Drosophila melanogaster: one gene and its partners. The protein of the gene in region 3 interacts with the protein of the main gene of each other region in a pairwise test. Each region holds a gene or a part of one and is shown on either strand. Other genes may lie near its edges.

Region 1 (4,676 bases), on a different chromosome or scaffold from region 3:
CCTCAACGCTGGACAATGGCGTTTTTATTGATAAAAATTATGCACGCCGGCAAACAAAGGCGGGGCCCAAAGATGTTGGACAACTTGACTCAGCAGAAAAGACGGCGAAGACGAACGATCCCGGGACAAAGGACCTGCTGTCATAATGGCTCAATCAGGCAACAGGACTAAGGACATTCGTTCGGGACTAACGGTACACCCATGGTCCTGCATTCTGGCCCTCTGTTGACACAATGTCTGGCGGACAGAGGAAACGGCATTGCTGCGGTCACTGAAATGTCATCCATCCGAGGATGTGGACAAAAAAGACATCTACACGGCGACAGCTTCGACGTCGGCTAACTTAAAAAGGATCCTTCAATGTATTTGCCTAACGGTCTCTGCGACAGTCCTTTCTGCGGATGGGTTAACGGTGAGAACTGCGCAGGACACTACCGAAACGACTTTGATTCGGACCGACAATTCGGGTTGAGGATCCAACAACAACTATGAACTGTGTCTGTAATAAAAGTTTGATATTATATAGCTTGCAATCAGAGATATTTACATTTTGTGCCCATATGCGTTTCATCTTCAGCGAATAAGCAATCGAAAAAAACCAAACAAACCAAGCTCGTGATTTGCAATCGCACTTGTGATCAGAACTGATCAATACGTATTTAAGTCCCAGTTCTTTAAAGAAGATACTTCCCCTTGTGCAAGAACTCAATTTTCTTAGCTAATTTTCGGCAGTCACCCAGCAGGATTCCCAAAAAGGACCAACTACTACATCGATTTTCCATTGAACTTCGTAGCTGTGAAGAGTGGGCGTATTGGAGTGCCGCCCATTTCAGCTAACGATTATTTGGCAGAAAATTTGCAATTCTGTTAAAAAGCAAACAGGATTCATGCAAAAGGATTTGCCAGCTAAAGCGTAAAATGCCGTTTAAGACCATTTTCCCCTGAGAGACCCGGCTATTCTTAGGTAAAGATGATGCGACAGCCTATTGACTTAAGATTACGAGAATGCAGCCAACCGAAAGGAGATCCTGACTGAGCCCGTTCACTTGTCACTACTCACTCACTTACCTCTTAAGCCGGCTGAGCTGCATAATTTTCCATAAAAAACAAACAATAATAAGAACGACGCATCCGTCTGTTGATTGTGAAGCAATGCATTTGAACAACGTGATTAGGAAGTGGTTATTAACTATTGGCTCTTCTTGACGACGTGCGCCAAGTCGTAGACTCCGCGCACAGCCTTCAGCTTAACGCCGGGCACGTCCTGCAGACGCCCCACGCGGCACAGTACAATGTTGTGCTCTTGCAGGTTGTGCCCGATGCCGGGGATGTAGGCCACCATCTCCTTGCCGGTGGAGAGGCGCACCAGCACGCACTTTCGATTGGCCGAGTTCGGCTTCTTGGGCTTCTTTATCAGCGTCTTCAGGACAACGCCCTTGGCGAAGGGCTTTCCATCCAGCGGCTGGCGCGGCGGACGCGTCTTTATGTGCGGTCCGCTGCGGTGCATCTGCTGCAGCGATGCCATTCCACGGACGGCGGTCTCATAGCTGCACTGGATGGCTGGCAAAGAAGTGAAAGAGTTAGATATGTCGCTTAAAGAAAACCAGTACAACAAAATTAACTGCTCCAAGTTTGAGATTGCAATCATGATCATTTTTAGAGGTAACACTCCTAGTTGATTATGAGAAAGTGGCTAGACTATAAACACACAAGGGTTCGGCCATCGATCGACTCGATTGAGAATGCAATGATGGGAGCGAAAGAGATCGCTCGAAATCAATAAAGCACGACTGTACCGGCTTCGAAATGCGGACAAAAGGGTCACTTCCACGGACAGTTGGTCAGTGATTGACAATGCCCGCTGGTTCTGTGCTGGCTCCTTTGTCATACGGCTAATCTCTGTGGAAATCGAGAATTGTGGAACGGAGTTGGCGGCTGGCGACAATAATTGCGGCCAAATGACGCGCAAGCATGGAAGTACTCGCTCCGAATCCTGTCAAGCCTTTTTGGCCAGAAACAAAGCGACGTAGCAGCGTTTTCAATTATAAATATGCCAAATGCCACACACAACACAAGCGGCAGGTAATAATTTCCATATGCAGGATTGCCGGACAAACAAATCCGGCACCTATTGTCTCCTAAACTGCGACCTTTTTTTTGCGGTTGAACATTTCCATTGTTTCCGCGCTTTTCCTTCTTTTTCGGGGTGACAGGTTTTCAATTATTTTTCCAATCTAAAGCGGGGGAGCTGCGGAATGTGCATGTTGATGTGCATGTGAAACTGGCAATGAAAATATTCGCAGGCGAAAAGTGCGGCCGCCACGCGCGGCCAACTCAAAAAGAGTTGGTAAAACCTGGGGGAAATGCACGAAAGTCGGGGGGAAAACAAACACTTATGCGCTCCCGGTTTATTTGGTTTTCGCTTCGCAGCGGAAGGGTGGCTAAATGCGCCAAGTCACGGACTCCTGAGGGCCAGTTCCTGCTTAGGAGCAGCTAATGGCCACCAAATCAATTAAAATATTCGATTTTTAAGGTATTTAACTTGGTTTAGTTAAGCTTACCCTGCGAAGCCAACTGTTTCGTAATGCCAAAGGATTGCCGCAGAAAATTCATGCTCTTGGAGTTTTGTTCAGTAGTTTTTTGTTCAGTTTGTAGTACCAGCCGTCGCTCGGATTGGTGGCGCTTGCTCGGAAGCTATTTAGTCGGCCTTTTGTGTTATAAAAGCGCTAAAATATTTAATAATCTAATTCCAATTCAATTCTAATGTGACAATCAGCTGTTGCTGTCCTAGAGCTGGCACAGGTGTCGATAGTCACGCATGGCAGTCACGTATGGTAGGTGCACTCGCTAAAACATGGTGGGTGCATCCGCCAGTGAGAGTTGCCAGATGAAGGCGGGATTTTTAAAAATGGTATTTAAGAATATGAAAATCCCAGTATTTTGAATGACAGCACTTAAATTTCCCATCATTAAAACAAAAATACGTTAAAAAATATGTTTAAAGATTCACTTTTTAATTTCAGGACTCGCATATTCGTTTAAAACTGCCGCCTATGAGCTTAAATCGAGTTTAGGATGCTTCTCTCTTGGGTTTTGTGTATTAGTCACATCTAGAAATGTATTAACTTAATGCTATATAGTTGGTTTGACTTAAACGTACATTAGGTTGCTTGTTAATTGAACTAATCAATTTGAGTTGCTGACGCCTGACGTTTACACTGCAATAAATAAATAACGCTATGCTACAGGGCTTATTCGAGATAAAATTTGGCCCCCGAAATAGTTCTATCAATAATAAAAAAAAAAACTTAACATTAGTAATTCTACTGACTATCTGGCCGGCAGCAACGAAAAAAGTCTTACATTACCAATTCCTTATACTAAAGTTTGTATATTTTCAAATTCAATATTTAACTAAAACAAAACGAAGCAGCATTAACGTTTAACGACTTAGCTGCTTAGCTGTTTTTTTCTTTTAATTAAACGTTCTGCTCGAAATACATTTTAATGAGCTCAAAATGAAAACAAAACTTGATTACTAGTGTTTTAGCACAAAGTTACTCGAGCATTTGAAACGACAGAAACTTCTGTTAATGGCAAATTCCCTAGTTCTAAGCTTAATGATTGGCCAAATTAATTGGTTTTTTGGAAAACTAAACAGTACCGGGTGCCTTAAAGCTAATATTCGAGGGTTTCGAGCTGCTCTGCCGACCTGTCCTACGATTATCTCAATAATACACATCTAGTTTCGGATCCTTAAGTCTACTTGAAACTGTCTGTTTTTGGGGAACCACTTTCGCTTGCCGCTTAGGTATATTTCTCCTCGTTGTGCTGCTCCGCCCACTAGTCCACTAGTTAGTTGCCTCCTCTGCGAGCCATCACACCTCAATACTGTTCAGACTGCCCGACGATATGTTGTCCGTGTGGCTGCCCAGGCGCGTCCTCTTGATCATCGCCCTGCTCGGCATCGGCGATCTCTGGACCCTAGGGCTCCCTGGCACGATGGGTATGCCCACCAGGCCACCCGGATGGCCGGGGTGGTGGTGCAGATGCTGGTGGTGCGGCGGCAGGTTGTTGTTGTTGTTGTTGTGGTGGCTCAGGCCAATATTGAGATTGCTGTGGCTGTTGTGCACCTGCTGGTTGCCCGAGGTGCGTCGCTGTCGCCGCAGGGATGGTATCCTGGTCGGCGTGGGTGTGCCCTCCTCCATATGAAAGCCCCCGGGCTGCTGGTGACCCCTGACACTGCGCTCCATCATCGGCGACGGCTGGTGCGTGGGTGCCTGTTGGTAATAGGCCGAGTGCGGAGGCACCGGCGGCGGCTGCTGGTGGTAGTCCAGTCGCTTGTGCATCAGAGTGGGCGTGCCAGGCGGATGGTACGGCTGTGCGTGGTGAAGGCCATTCTGATGCAGTCCAGAGTTGTTCTGTGGAACATTAGGAGACATAAATTAGCAGGATAGGGCACTAGGCGAATCGTTATTTCATGAGTGAATGAATGACAATGTTGACAAAACAATATCGGCTGGGGGTTGGCTTATCCTGATTGCGGAGGCGGAAAAGCAATAGCACATGGGAGTTGTATGCACAGACTGTCAGCAAGATGATGTTGTCAAAATTGGTATACAGTGTTTGTTTGTATCGGTTGGTATGCGCCCGTGTGCTATTGTTTTCGATCTCAA
Region 2 (6,627 bases), on a different chromosome or scaffold from region 3:
GCTTTGCCGTTTGGGGTGCCACTTTCAGCACAGTGGATTGCGCCCTGGTCCACTATCGCCAGAGGGAGGATGCCTGGAACTCGATACTCAGTGGAGCGGCCACTGGTGGGATATTGGCAGCCCGTAATGGCATTCGGGCCATGGCCAACAGTGCTCTGGTGGGCTGTCTGGTGCTGGCCATGATTGAAGGAGCCGGTGCAGCAGTGGCCACCATTAATGCAGCCGACAAAGGTGCAGGGATAGTCATCAAGCCGCAGCGGGCCCAGTGGGAGGCCATACTGGAGACTATTGATCCGAAGAGAGCGTCATCCACTCAAGATTTCGCACTGGCGGAGTTTGAACGGGTGCTGGACAAATGTCGGGCGAGCAGGGAACCAAATTTACTTCAGGACATTCCGGTTAAGAGTCACGAGCGAGATTCCAAACAGAAGCCATTTTATTCCCTCTTGGATCTGGTGAAACTGTCCCAGATGTTCTAGTGTTGCCCAAAAAAAAAGGGTTTTCATTTTCATTCAATCTTTCGTTCTCAACAATCACTCATCAAAATTGTGTGCATGTACTAGTTTTCACCGTTCATTTCATGATCGTAATATACAAAACGCATAAGATACTAAAGCTTATCTACTATCAAAATCATAGCATACTTCTTGGCGTCAGAATTTCAAGTTCGAAACACTTTATTTTGTGGCTTTATTTTTTTAAAGGTTGAATAAAACAATGTATGTATGTATTTCCCAATCTATAGATATCCCAGAAAAATCCCACTACTTGAGTAACGGATATCTGGTAGTCGGGAAACTCGACTGTAGCATTTTCTCTTGTGTTATACTTCAAATGGCTCAGCTTGAAACAGAACTTTTTTTTGGTTTTTATAATTCAAATTTGTACAATTATTTCATCGTATGGAAAACAAAACTCGGAACAGATTTATATTCATATCTGCAGCGCTGAACAATATCATACAATTTGAAAGAGGGTTCTTAGGATCTGTAGATTTAATAAAAAGCATTTATTAATATCTAACCTCTACCCTGGAAAAGAGGTATTTATGATTCTATCATAATATCCTTAAATAAATCAATTTAAACGTTCAATGCTATATCAAATTAACAAAAAAATAAATAATGCCGTTGTCCACTTATCAAAATCGTTTCGAATCTTTTATTATAATTAAAGAAAATCATAAATTAATACAAAATTAAGAATTAAACTAGTTGATGAGACAGAACAGAGCGCAGAGAATTGGAAGGTGGTTACCAGGATAGGGTTCATAAGTAAGTATATCATGCAGCAATTTGGCCAGAAAACTTTGCATTCAAAGACAATCGGAGATTAGACATATAGTTGACATCGATCATCGTTCCCGCTGCCGATTTGGGAAATATCATTTTTGGTTTTACTTGGAGAGTGTCGCTGGTCCTTCCGCCAGCCCACATTCGCATTCGGATTCTGATCCTGATCGCGATCCTCTTAGATGCGCAGATTGGGGTTCGTGTAGCGCACATACTTCAGCAGAGCATCGTTCTCCTCGCAGACGAAGCTCTTCTTGTGATGGCATGCCACATCGTGCCAGTTTACGCCATCGTTGTAGAACTGATTCAGCAGGGCGAGACAATTCTCCGGCGCTCCATTCTGCTTGTACTCGCGGTTGTCCGGCTGGGGCAGGCCAATGCCTCCGGTGGGCGACCAATCGCCCTGGTTCCTCTCAGTGGTTGGTGCCAGTTTCTGCAGTGTGGCGGTCCAGAACCAACCGTTGATGTTTGTGGGCTGCAGATCGGGGCGGTCACAGCCCTTGAAGTCACACAAGCGGCCGCTGGTCCAGATGTATTTCACCTGCAACGTGAGAGTAGTGTTCTCATTAATGTACTGAAACCAGGACAAAATTCAAATATCCATCCAAGGAAACTGAATCAATGAAATAGTATCAATAGTTCATTGCCCCTTGCAGATACTGAAATAGAAATAGAAATTTCCCCCATCAATCCCCCACCTACGCAAGAAAATGCAGGGCTGGCATCGACGAACAAAATAGTGGTAGAAATTCCAGTTAGCAACTCTTTTGGGCCTGTCACGCCCAAACAACCATTTTTATCGCTGAAAGCGAACCCATATACCCATACCCATTCCCATTCCGAATCCGAGTCCGCGCCCTTTTGGAGCTGGCGCACCCGATACTGTCAACATTTCAAGTGAGCAGAAGCAAAAGCAAAAGCCGCTGCGCAGCCGCAGTTAAGCGATCATCAGTCACTTTCACCTGATGGGCCATAAAAATTGTTTTGTTAAGGGGGCAGCACACAAAAAAAAAAAAAAAAAAAAAACAAAGAGACCCAGACGACTCGATGTGGATGTCTGCCCTTTTGGAAAACTCCAATGAGCGTAAAGCTGAAATAGATTTATGGACATTGATTTCGGTTTTGTCGCTGGCGGTTTTAGCGTTTCATTTAAGGGGTCCAGATTGCAATGTAATTGTTTAAAACTCAGACAATGAATGCATTTTACCCGTTGCGGAAACCTAAATGAGTGATGTTTATACACCTGTCCTACTAATAGTTAAATAAAAGTCTTGCAGAGAAGTCGGTGGTGGGAGATGCAACTTAGCAGGAAGCGGAAAATTTTAATGGAAAGTACTGCGTTTCCATTGGACATCTAAAAAAAGATTTGTTGTCTTATATGTTGGTTGATATGTGGTTAATATATTAATATTCGATGATCATGAGTTACTTTCCATCTTCGACTTTTTATCGCCTATGGTTTGCATTCAATTTCCTTTTGGATCTTATACGCAAAATGTAAAACAAATGAATTCGGTTGCGTGTTCGCAGCTTGCTAATTTTGCTAAGTAATTTTGTTGATCAGCTTTTCCGGCCAGGCTTTCCCATCGCACACATGTACTTTCGATTTTAATTCGACCGCCAGTGCCTTCCCATGCCGCAAAACCGGAGATGGGATGTGGGCAATGAGTCGGAAGATGGCAGATGAGATGGGATGAGATGAGCCCGGCTGACCACAACTCCAAACTTGACACTTGTTCATCCGAAGAGCGTTGCATAATATCAGACGATTCCATTCGTGTGCAAAATTACAGAGGCAACAACTGGGAAAGTTTTTCTGTATTTATGATGCGTATTTTGCCTTTCCGTTCAGTTTTTATGCGCAATTTCACATTGAACTTTGTGGAGCGATGTTAGTGTCAGGGATTTCGCAATTATTTTTATTGTGTGCCCCCCCAGCATCCTCGGAATTAAGGTCAGCGTTTTGTTGTGTCTTGTCTGAGCTGCCAAATAAAACGCGCTAAACAGTTCACACGCGGCTAAACTGACGTTATTTAACTTGCCAAACAAATTAAGAAAGGTGACATAATGTCATGCAAAACAGGTGAGAAAACAACGGAAACAAAATCTAATAGATGCAGGTACAATAAATTATTGGCAAGCTTTTTCGACTTTAAGGTGTAAAAGTCCACATTGATGCGGTCCATTTATTAGTGTTTGATTTTGCATTTATAATAGCCTTTCGCCGGAAAAAAAAACATATACATAGTGAATGAGTTGCACATTTCAATGGTATTTTCGGTCATTTGTTTGATCTATCAATGCTTAAATGTTTAACAAACAGGTGCATTGAAGTTCAGATCAATTTATTAGTTTGGACATGGTTCCAATATCATAAGTGGGACTTACGTAAGGTTTAATTTATTGACTTGGGACAATCCATTTATAGACTCAACATTTTCGGAGTAAATATTTATGAAAGTTGAGATAAAAGATTAGCTTTGCGTGTGCGCATTTGTGTGCTATTCATGACAACACCTATACTTGAGTTCGTTTCCTAAGTCTTTCGATTTCTCTTATCATTTCTTGCCTTAATTTATTTTCATCGTTATAGCCCCTGAAATTTGTACTTACATTCTCGCGCACAACATACTGCTTGATCCACTCGTTCTCCAAACTGGTCTCCAGGGAAACGGAGTCCATGCAGCGCCTGCGGCAGTAGTTCCTGGCGGTCAGCCAGTCCTCCTCCACGCCCTTCAGCTGAGGGTCGCGCCACGAGAAGAAGTAACTGCGGGGAGAGAAGCAAACCCTATAGTTTATGTTTTGGTGAGCATATCCTGCTGACTCACCCCTTGCCATCGGGAGTCTTCTCGTGAATGACACGCTGGGCACAGAGCTGCGGATTCGGCGGCTCCAGACGTCCGTTCTGGAACTGAGCGGATCCCAGGCTCAGCACGCTCAACACGCACACTCCGGCGATAATGAAAGCTTTCATTTTTGTTTGCTTTATCAGTCTATTCACTGGCACTTTCTGCGGGCTCGATTTTCTTTTTTGGACTCGCGACGCACTTCTCTCTACCGACCGATCGGCTGGCACTGATCAACTGGAATGTCAAAAGCATTGGGGAACCCCGCCTTATATACGAACCGAGAGTCGCATCGATCCATCCACTCAATTCGATGAGAGCGCCGTACCCCAAAAAGAGAGAATGAGTGGTGGGGCTTTTTTTTTGGTTTGGCGGCAGTACTACACTCGAAAATGTTTATTCCATGAAGTCCTACTGTTGAACACTTCTTTTTTCTTTATAAAAACCATATACTTTCTTTTAATTTAACTTTTTATTTTCAGGATTTTTAGTGTGAGAAACATTGTAACAATCAACGGAGCTGATTGTATGCAAGTCGAAATTTGAATACCCTGTACTACAGAGGCAATAAATTTAGAGATTGATTCATTTTGAAAAATTCCTTTTAAATGTTTTGAATAGATTGGAAAATGGTTAGGCCAGAAGTATTTTAAGCTAAAAACTTAAATGTTAAGATTAGTAGATTAGTAGAATTCTAGCGACTTGCTAGAATTTTTGATTTAAGTAGATACTCGTGAATTTGCACCTATGTATGTATATATTTTAAGAGCAATCTGTAACCCATTTATAAATTGGAGCACGGGGAGAATGGCCTAATCTTCAGTGGCTGTTTAACCAGCAACCGTGAATGATAAGTGGCCAAAGTGGTGCAAAAAAAGGGGAGGGGGGGACGATCGGTGGGCGATGGGTGGCGTTTCTTTGGCTTGCGCATCATTTTGCACCACTTCGCTTTGAATGGCCGTTGAATGGATTGGGCTAACTCCCATCTAATTAGCTTCACAAACACGACACCACTTGAGCCAAAATCGTTTTTGGCACGGAAATTTCGAACTTTTTTTGTGTGCTGCGTCTCCTGTCTCTTTGCATAAATAAATGCATTTTACGCTATTGTTTGCTTCGTCTCAGAAATGTATGTATTTGCCAGTGCTTTTGTCGCTTTGCTCATTGCATAATCTCAACTGATGTGTTGACCAACAATTTATGTCGATTGAAATCGACATAATTGAAATGTAAAGGTCACTTATTAATCAATAAGTTCTGTGGCTACATTAAATACGCACCTATATAACAACTAATCGTACTTATAATTTTAAATGAGCTGCCAAACGTTACATAATGCCGGCCATAAATAGCCAGAAGATATACCCAAACACACTTGCCATTGCATAAGCATAAGAAATGATGCCCATCTACATTATTTTCTCCACAGCTTGGGACCCAGATCAAGGTCAGCCCCGATGAGTACGAAAATTTCACCAGTTGAAAGTGAAGAGTAAGCCGAGCAAACCCGAAAACCCAAAAACCCAAAACCCAAGCTCAATTCACGCATTTCAACATGATCGCCTCGATAAGTTTTGTCTCCTCCGCGCGTTATTTTCTTTATTTTTACATCTTCAACTCACGTGCAGTTGAGCATGTCGACCGAACACAGCCGAAACCAAAAAATGGCGGTTTTTGAAAAAGCAAAGGTATCTGTTAAATCGCACTTTATGGCAATCGGTAAAACGGCAAAAGTTACACGAAGGCAGGTGCCGCTCATTACCTGACACATGTATCTCGTTGGACACTTTGGGCGGATTATGCTGGATGCTGCTGGGCCAGCCGCGCCCATTTCTCAGAAATTTCTATAATATTTAGCAAAATATTTGTATCGATTATTATTAAACTATGCCACAGAGGTGGGTGTTAAGTAAAATTATTTCAATATATTGTACACAGAGTTTGGAAAAATCCCAATTGCTAGCATTGAAAAAATTCCACATATTAAATTTCAAATTTCAAATGACCGGCGTGCAATGCTGAACGACAAAGAGCAATAAAAATTATAATAAATTAGGCAACCCATTTACATGGTCAACACGTGTATTTGCTTAAGCCATGTCTTTCGGGCAAGCATAATTTATTTAATTTGTGTGAGCTACTCGGCGTTACATGAATTCCCGTGGGCACTCTCAAGCCCAAAATGATCATCATCATTTAGCGATAATATTTTTGGGTAATAATCATGTGATAAGGAACCGGGAAACTGGGCCCAACTGTCAAGAGACGCGCAGCCAGCCTATTACCGCATTGCATGCCCTCATATTTACGCAATGAGTTCCCAGACGGTATCGGAATGGGGATCGGGATCGGGAGAGGGAGAGGGAGAAGGGGCTGACTTATGGGCTATGCGGCTGGGACCGATGAGATGAGGCTGGGGAATGGGCCTGGCCAATTTGTCGATGAGTTGGGTAAATATTAAAGGAGAAAGTGCCGCCGTCAGTTGGACC
Region 3 (4,777 bases):
GAAGTCGAAGGAGCTACGCAATTTTACGAATGCTGCGTTGCACTTTTCCGCTTGGCACATGTAGATGTACTGCTGGCATCTAGTGCAGTTTATATAGATTATATACGTGGATTTGTGAAGCAAATTTGTATTTATGCTGATGGCCAGGCACCCATGACACTCGCTATTTCAATGGCTTGCCTTTCCCTGGTGTTCCCAGTCCTGAAGCCTGAATTCTGATTCTCGATTCCTGACTCCCGGCACATTATGTGCCCCATTTAATGTCTATGTATGTGCAGCCAGTACACTTGCACATACTATGGCACACACTTACACGCCCAGTGAACGTCAAGTGGCAATTTACATTAGTTTTATTGTATACGAAATTAGCAGCATTTAGCAGTGGCAGCCGGCAAAACTTTTGCCTTTCGGCTCCGTTCGCTATGTCCCACCCCTACACCCATACACACACACACATGTATTGCTATAAATGGAGGATATATTCTCATCCGCAGTCAAGGGTTTGTATGTTAGATTTGTTTGCTCGTTTGGCTGCACTGTCGCACTCGGCATATCAATTTTCCCGCTCATCCACCTCTCCCCTCAGGACATTTCAAGGTAGGAAATCGATTTTGTTAATGAAAACGAAGGAGAACTTCAAGGAGAAGGCCACCCAGGGGATCGGGTGTCGATTGGAGCGTAAGTTTGATATTTGTTACGGGCGGAACAATGGCCATTCTGCTCGATGATGGCATTCCCGAAGGATTATATTGCAACTTTCGAGCTTGATTTTTTATATTCTTCCGCTGAACATAGTTATTATGATGTGTATTTAGTTTTTATTGTCTGTTTTTTGTATACAAAGTAAAAATGGTCTCGCCACTCCTTACATATGCAAGAAATATAAACATCTTCCAGTTGAAGCAACAAAAAATAAAAAAAAGAATGCGGAAAAACAAGTAACCTAAAATTTTTAAGAAACATTGTGACAGCTGCCCGTTTCAGGTTCACACTAGATGGCACTCGTTCACCAAAACGACATCATCTTCGACCACGTCGCCATTACGATTGGCATGGTGCTCATGGTGAATGGGACAGCTGACGATGAGCTCCTCCTTGGGTTCCATCTTCTGTGCCTCCTTCTTGGCCTTCTTCGTTAGTGCCTTATCCTTGATGCCCTTCTTTTTTTCCATCTCCAGCTCCAATTCTAGGTGATCGCCCAGCAGGTGATCGATGACATCGGGATTGTTGCGCAAAGCCAGATCCATGGCGCCATCAAGGAATTGATAGAGGGGTGAACTAACGTGACGCTGTGGCTCCTTTGGTGGTTCCAGCAAGAGATTTCCCTCGAAATTGGGCTGCAACAGCTGTTGCAGCATGTAGAGCATCGGTGGCACAGCCGGCGAGGATTTATGCTTGCGATGGTGCTTCAGTGGTGCTGCATTATGAAGTCCGCGTGGAGTGTTCTCGGCTGCATTCAGCAGTAGCACTCCGGCCAATTCCGGTGGCAGAACTTCCGGACCGTAGTTCAGCTCCTGCTGCACACTCTCAATCATCATGTTGGGCGCCAGCAGCTCGAACTCCTTTATCTCGTGCTTGCCATCTGGCGAAACCAGCTTGTTGTAGTACACGTAGGGATTGGAATTGGGATTGGGATTGGGATTAAGATTGGGATTAGGGTTGGGTGGCAATGAGGTGGCCATAGCAGCAGCTTCCACCGCTGGGCGACGCTTGTGGTGCAATTGTCGTGGCTGCAGACTGTCGTCCATCAGGCTACCCAAACGCCTCTTGGGACGGCGCAGTCCCAGCAGATCCTCCACTAGCTGAAATTTTCCGGCATCCGGAGGCGAGGATGTGGATGCCACAGCAGCAAGTGATGATGATAATGCGGTGGTGGTTGTGGAGCTAGTGGTTTTTCCACGAACTCCCATACTGCGCACCGGTCCAGCAGTAATCTTCTGCTCCGGAGATGTGGCGGCTTCAGTCATGTTAGCGGTGGTAATGGTACTATTGGCCAACACGGTGGCTTTTCCGCTCAGTGAAGCAGTATTGTCCATTGTAGTGGTTTCATTATAATCACTTGCAGTATCGCCTTGAGAACGCTTCATGCGCAGACAATCGCCGTACATCGGCCGCATCAACATGAGGACACCTTAAGCAAAACAATGGATGCGTTTGAAATACACGCAATTAATTATAAATAATTGCATGCTAGATGGTACTGAAAACTAACGTATACTTACACCCAAGGATCAGCAAGTAGTTCATCTTGTATTGCATGATAGGCAGCGCTGTGGAAGACAGTTGAGTTGAAAAAGTGAAAAGTGACCACAAATATTCTCAGAGTTGAATATTTATTGTAGATTTTTTTCCACCAGAATAGTTACAATTTGAACTTACTTTATTTGATTGGAGTGGGTTCTAGGTGTGCTCGGCACAAAGTTTGTACTGAAAATAATTCGAAATGCTTCCTGCCTCATGGCGAGGCTTTGACAGACAGCTGGGGACCTGGTAAAAGGTTACTGAGAGTACGAAAAAAAAAATCGAATTTCAATATTTTTCTGATGGGGATTTTCCACACACACTCACTTCCATTTGTGGCGACCTTTTCAAGTGCTGCAAATGGCAGCAATGGTACAAAAACAAAAAAAAAAGTAACAAAACACAACCGCGCACACCAAAAAAGTTTGTTTCGTGGGCCGCAAACAAAAGCAAACAGTGGAAAAAGTTTAGCTTATAAATTTCCAATCAATTTTTCGTGCAAAAATCAAGCGACCTCACACTCACACACAGGCACAAGCTCAAGTGTTCATACACGTAGTGTGTGCCTGCGTGTGAGTAGCTATTACTTGATTAATAAATATTAGCAGCAAAAATTGGAAAATTCTCAGCGAAGCGTAAAAGTGCAAACACCCAAACGGAAATGCGATACATTTGCGAAATGGCAGGAGCATTTTCCAAAACATCGATGCTTCTCTACGCACACAAGCACGCACACAGCACTACTCACCTACTCCATGTAACTTTTGATATAAAAGGTATATAAGAATTATCGAAGATATGAAATATAGGTTATGAATCTGCATGGATTGACTTATTGACTTAAACTATAATTTCCCATTTGTTCAAAATGTAACAACTATATCTTCTTTTGTGTTATATATCAAATGAATTTTGGTTACTTTCAAAAGGGTATTTCTTTCTCGATTCCCGTTTTTTTAGCCTAAAACTTGAACTTGTTTCTGCCGCCTTCGTCTTTAGGCATTAATAATGTAAAGTGCGTGCGTCAAATGTGAATTCCTTGCTGCCAACGCACGCGATTTCATAAACTGGCGACATTTTCAACAAACAATTCTCATCGCCGTCTTCGATGTGCTTGTGTGTGTGTGTGTGTGTGCGCCCTTCGAGGCGACTTGGCGCTCAGGTGGATTTTGGGGTGCAGGAGGCGGTAAACCAAGGGACCCCGAGGAGCAGGCACTTTTCCTTATCAGCTTAAATGTAAATGCCAAACGAGTGCACTGAAGGCGGGGAGGGGGGTCGAAAGGGGGCGTGGCTGAGCAGCAGCTGTTGCTGCATTGGGGATTTGCACATTTATACTCGCATATTGTAGCCCCACTCCTCGAAAACCCCGTTTTTCCGGTCCATCCTGCTGTCTCGTTTTCATCTTCTCGTTTTTTATCTGCCAAAGTTGATTTTTCGAGTGTATTGAATAAAAGTCGATTTTCCCCTTCTGGATTTGTGCGCGTTCGACAAGCGGCTTAAATGCGTACAGTTAATACATATCCTTTTTGCATATGTCTGCGTGTCTGGGGCTTATAAGCCAGTGTGTAAGTGGGTGTGCGTGCTCTTGCTTTGATGTGTGAGTCCGTTAAGGTCGTGGCTTATTAGGGGTCCGAAACCTTTGCCGCAGTGCATCAACGCGGCGGGATTTGCACGCAGACACTGCAAAAAGGCTCCCAAGACGATCCACTATAATTGGTAGCGAAAATCACGCATCCGCCGTGTGGGTCAAGTGGTGCTAGGGGAACTGGTCTAGCAATTGCTTTGATCTCGGGCGGAAAATCGGTGAGTGCGACTTTTATTAAATGTTTCCCTTTCGATTTGTTTCGGCGGAAAAGACTCCGGCTTTGTAAACTTTCATTAGTTGCCTCGTTAATATTCCAATTGTTGACACACAAAGGCGAAAGGTGGTGGAGGGGATGGCTGGCTTAACCTGTGTATAAAGGAATTTAATTAATAACGTCCTTCGTCCTTTTGCGTGTGCAGCGCGGCGTAAACTTAATTAAATGCGCAAGTGGCAAGTAGCAAGTAGCTGGGGCCACAGTGGCAAATGACAAGTGGAGATGCAGGACCAGCAGACGCAACTGGAGAAGCTCAGGTGCAAAGGTTGAAGGTAACACCTGGCCCGGCTAGAAGTAAGAAAAAAAAACGTTAAGGAAACCCTCCTGCCCCACATGTCAAAAGTTTTATTGGCGCAAACGCTACTTTTATGGCTACTGTTAATAGTGAAAAATGGTGCAACAAAAGCCAGAATGATGGCAGATGCTTAGACAAAACCAGATGGAAATGGCAAACGGGGGGAGCGGCAAGTTCATCGAGTTGGTCATAAAACAACGAGTTGTGGCTCAGTGACTTTAACGCGCTTCCATCTTTACGAGTTTGGTGCGCCGGGTTTATAACCTGTAACTGGGGGCAAAGTTTATTAAGTTTATGCCAAGTGCATCAAATATGCAAAACCGCTATAGTTGATCATCTTGGATGCTCGATGGATTTGACTTCGAGTCTGACGGAGATGTCT

The links.
Region 1: the proteins of CG15109 (region 3) and tko interact in a two-hybrid assay, tested with the Drosophila melanogaster proteins (one large-scale study listed by BioGRID).
Region 2: the proteins of CG15109 (region 3) and CG4115 interact in a two-hybrid assay, tested with the Drosophila melanogaster proteins (one large-scale study listed by BioGRID).

What each region holds. Positions count from the first base shown.
Region 1 is NC_004354.4:2,441,173-2,445,848, forward strand, and holds tko (technical knockout), read right to left. Parts: upstream 2,805-4,676; 5' UTR 2,614-2,804; coding exon of another isoform or gene 2,562-2,613; intron 2,494-2,561; 5' UTR 1,655-2,493; coding exon 1,190-1,654; 3' UTR 1,141-1,189; downstream 1-1,140. Other genes in the region: boi (brother of ihog), read right to left, coding at 3,879-4,421.
Region 2 is NT_033777.3:12,357,769-12,364,395, reverse strand, and holds CG4115 (uncharacterized protein), read right to left. Parts: upstream 4,389-6,627; 5' UTR 4,267-4,388; coding exon 4,121-4,266; intron 4,060-4,120; coding exon 3,906-4,059; intron 1,834-3,905; coding exon 1,471-1,833; 3' UTR 1,141-1,470; downstream 1-1,140. Other genes in the region: Tim17a1, read left to right, coding at 1-479.
Region 3 is NT_033778.4:19,057,089-19,061,865, reverse strand, and holds CG15109 (uncharacterized protein), read right to left. Parts: upstream 2,446-4,777; 5' UTR 2,380-2,445; intron 2,271-2,379; 5' UTR 2,248-2,270; coding exon 2,223-2,247; exon of another isoform or gene 2,132-2,222; coding exon 987-2,131; 3' UTR 801-986; downstream 1-800.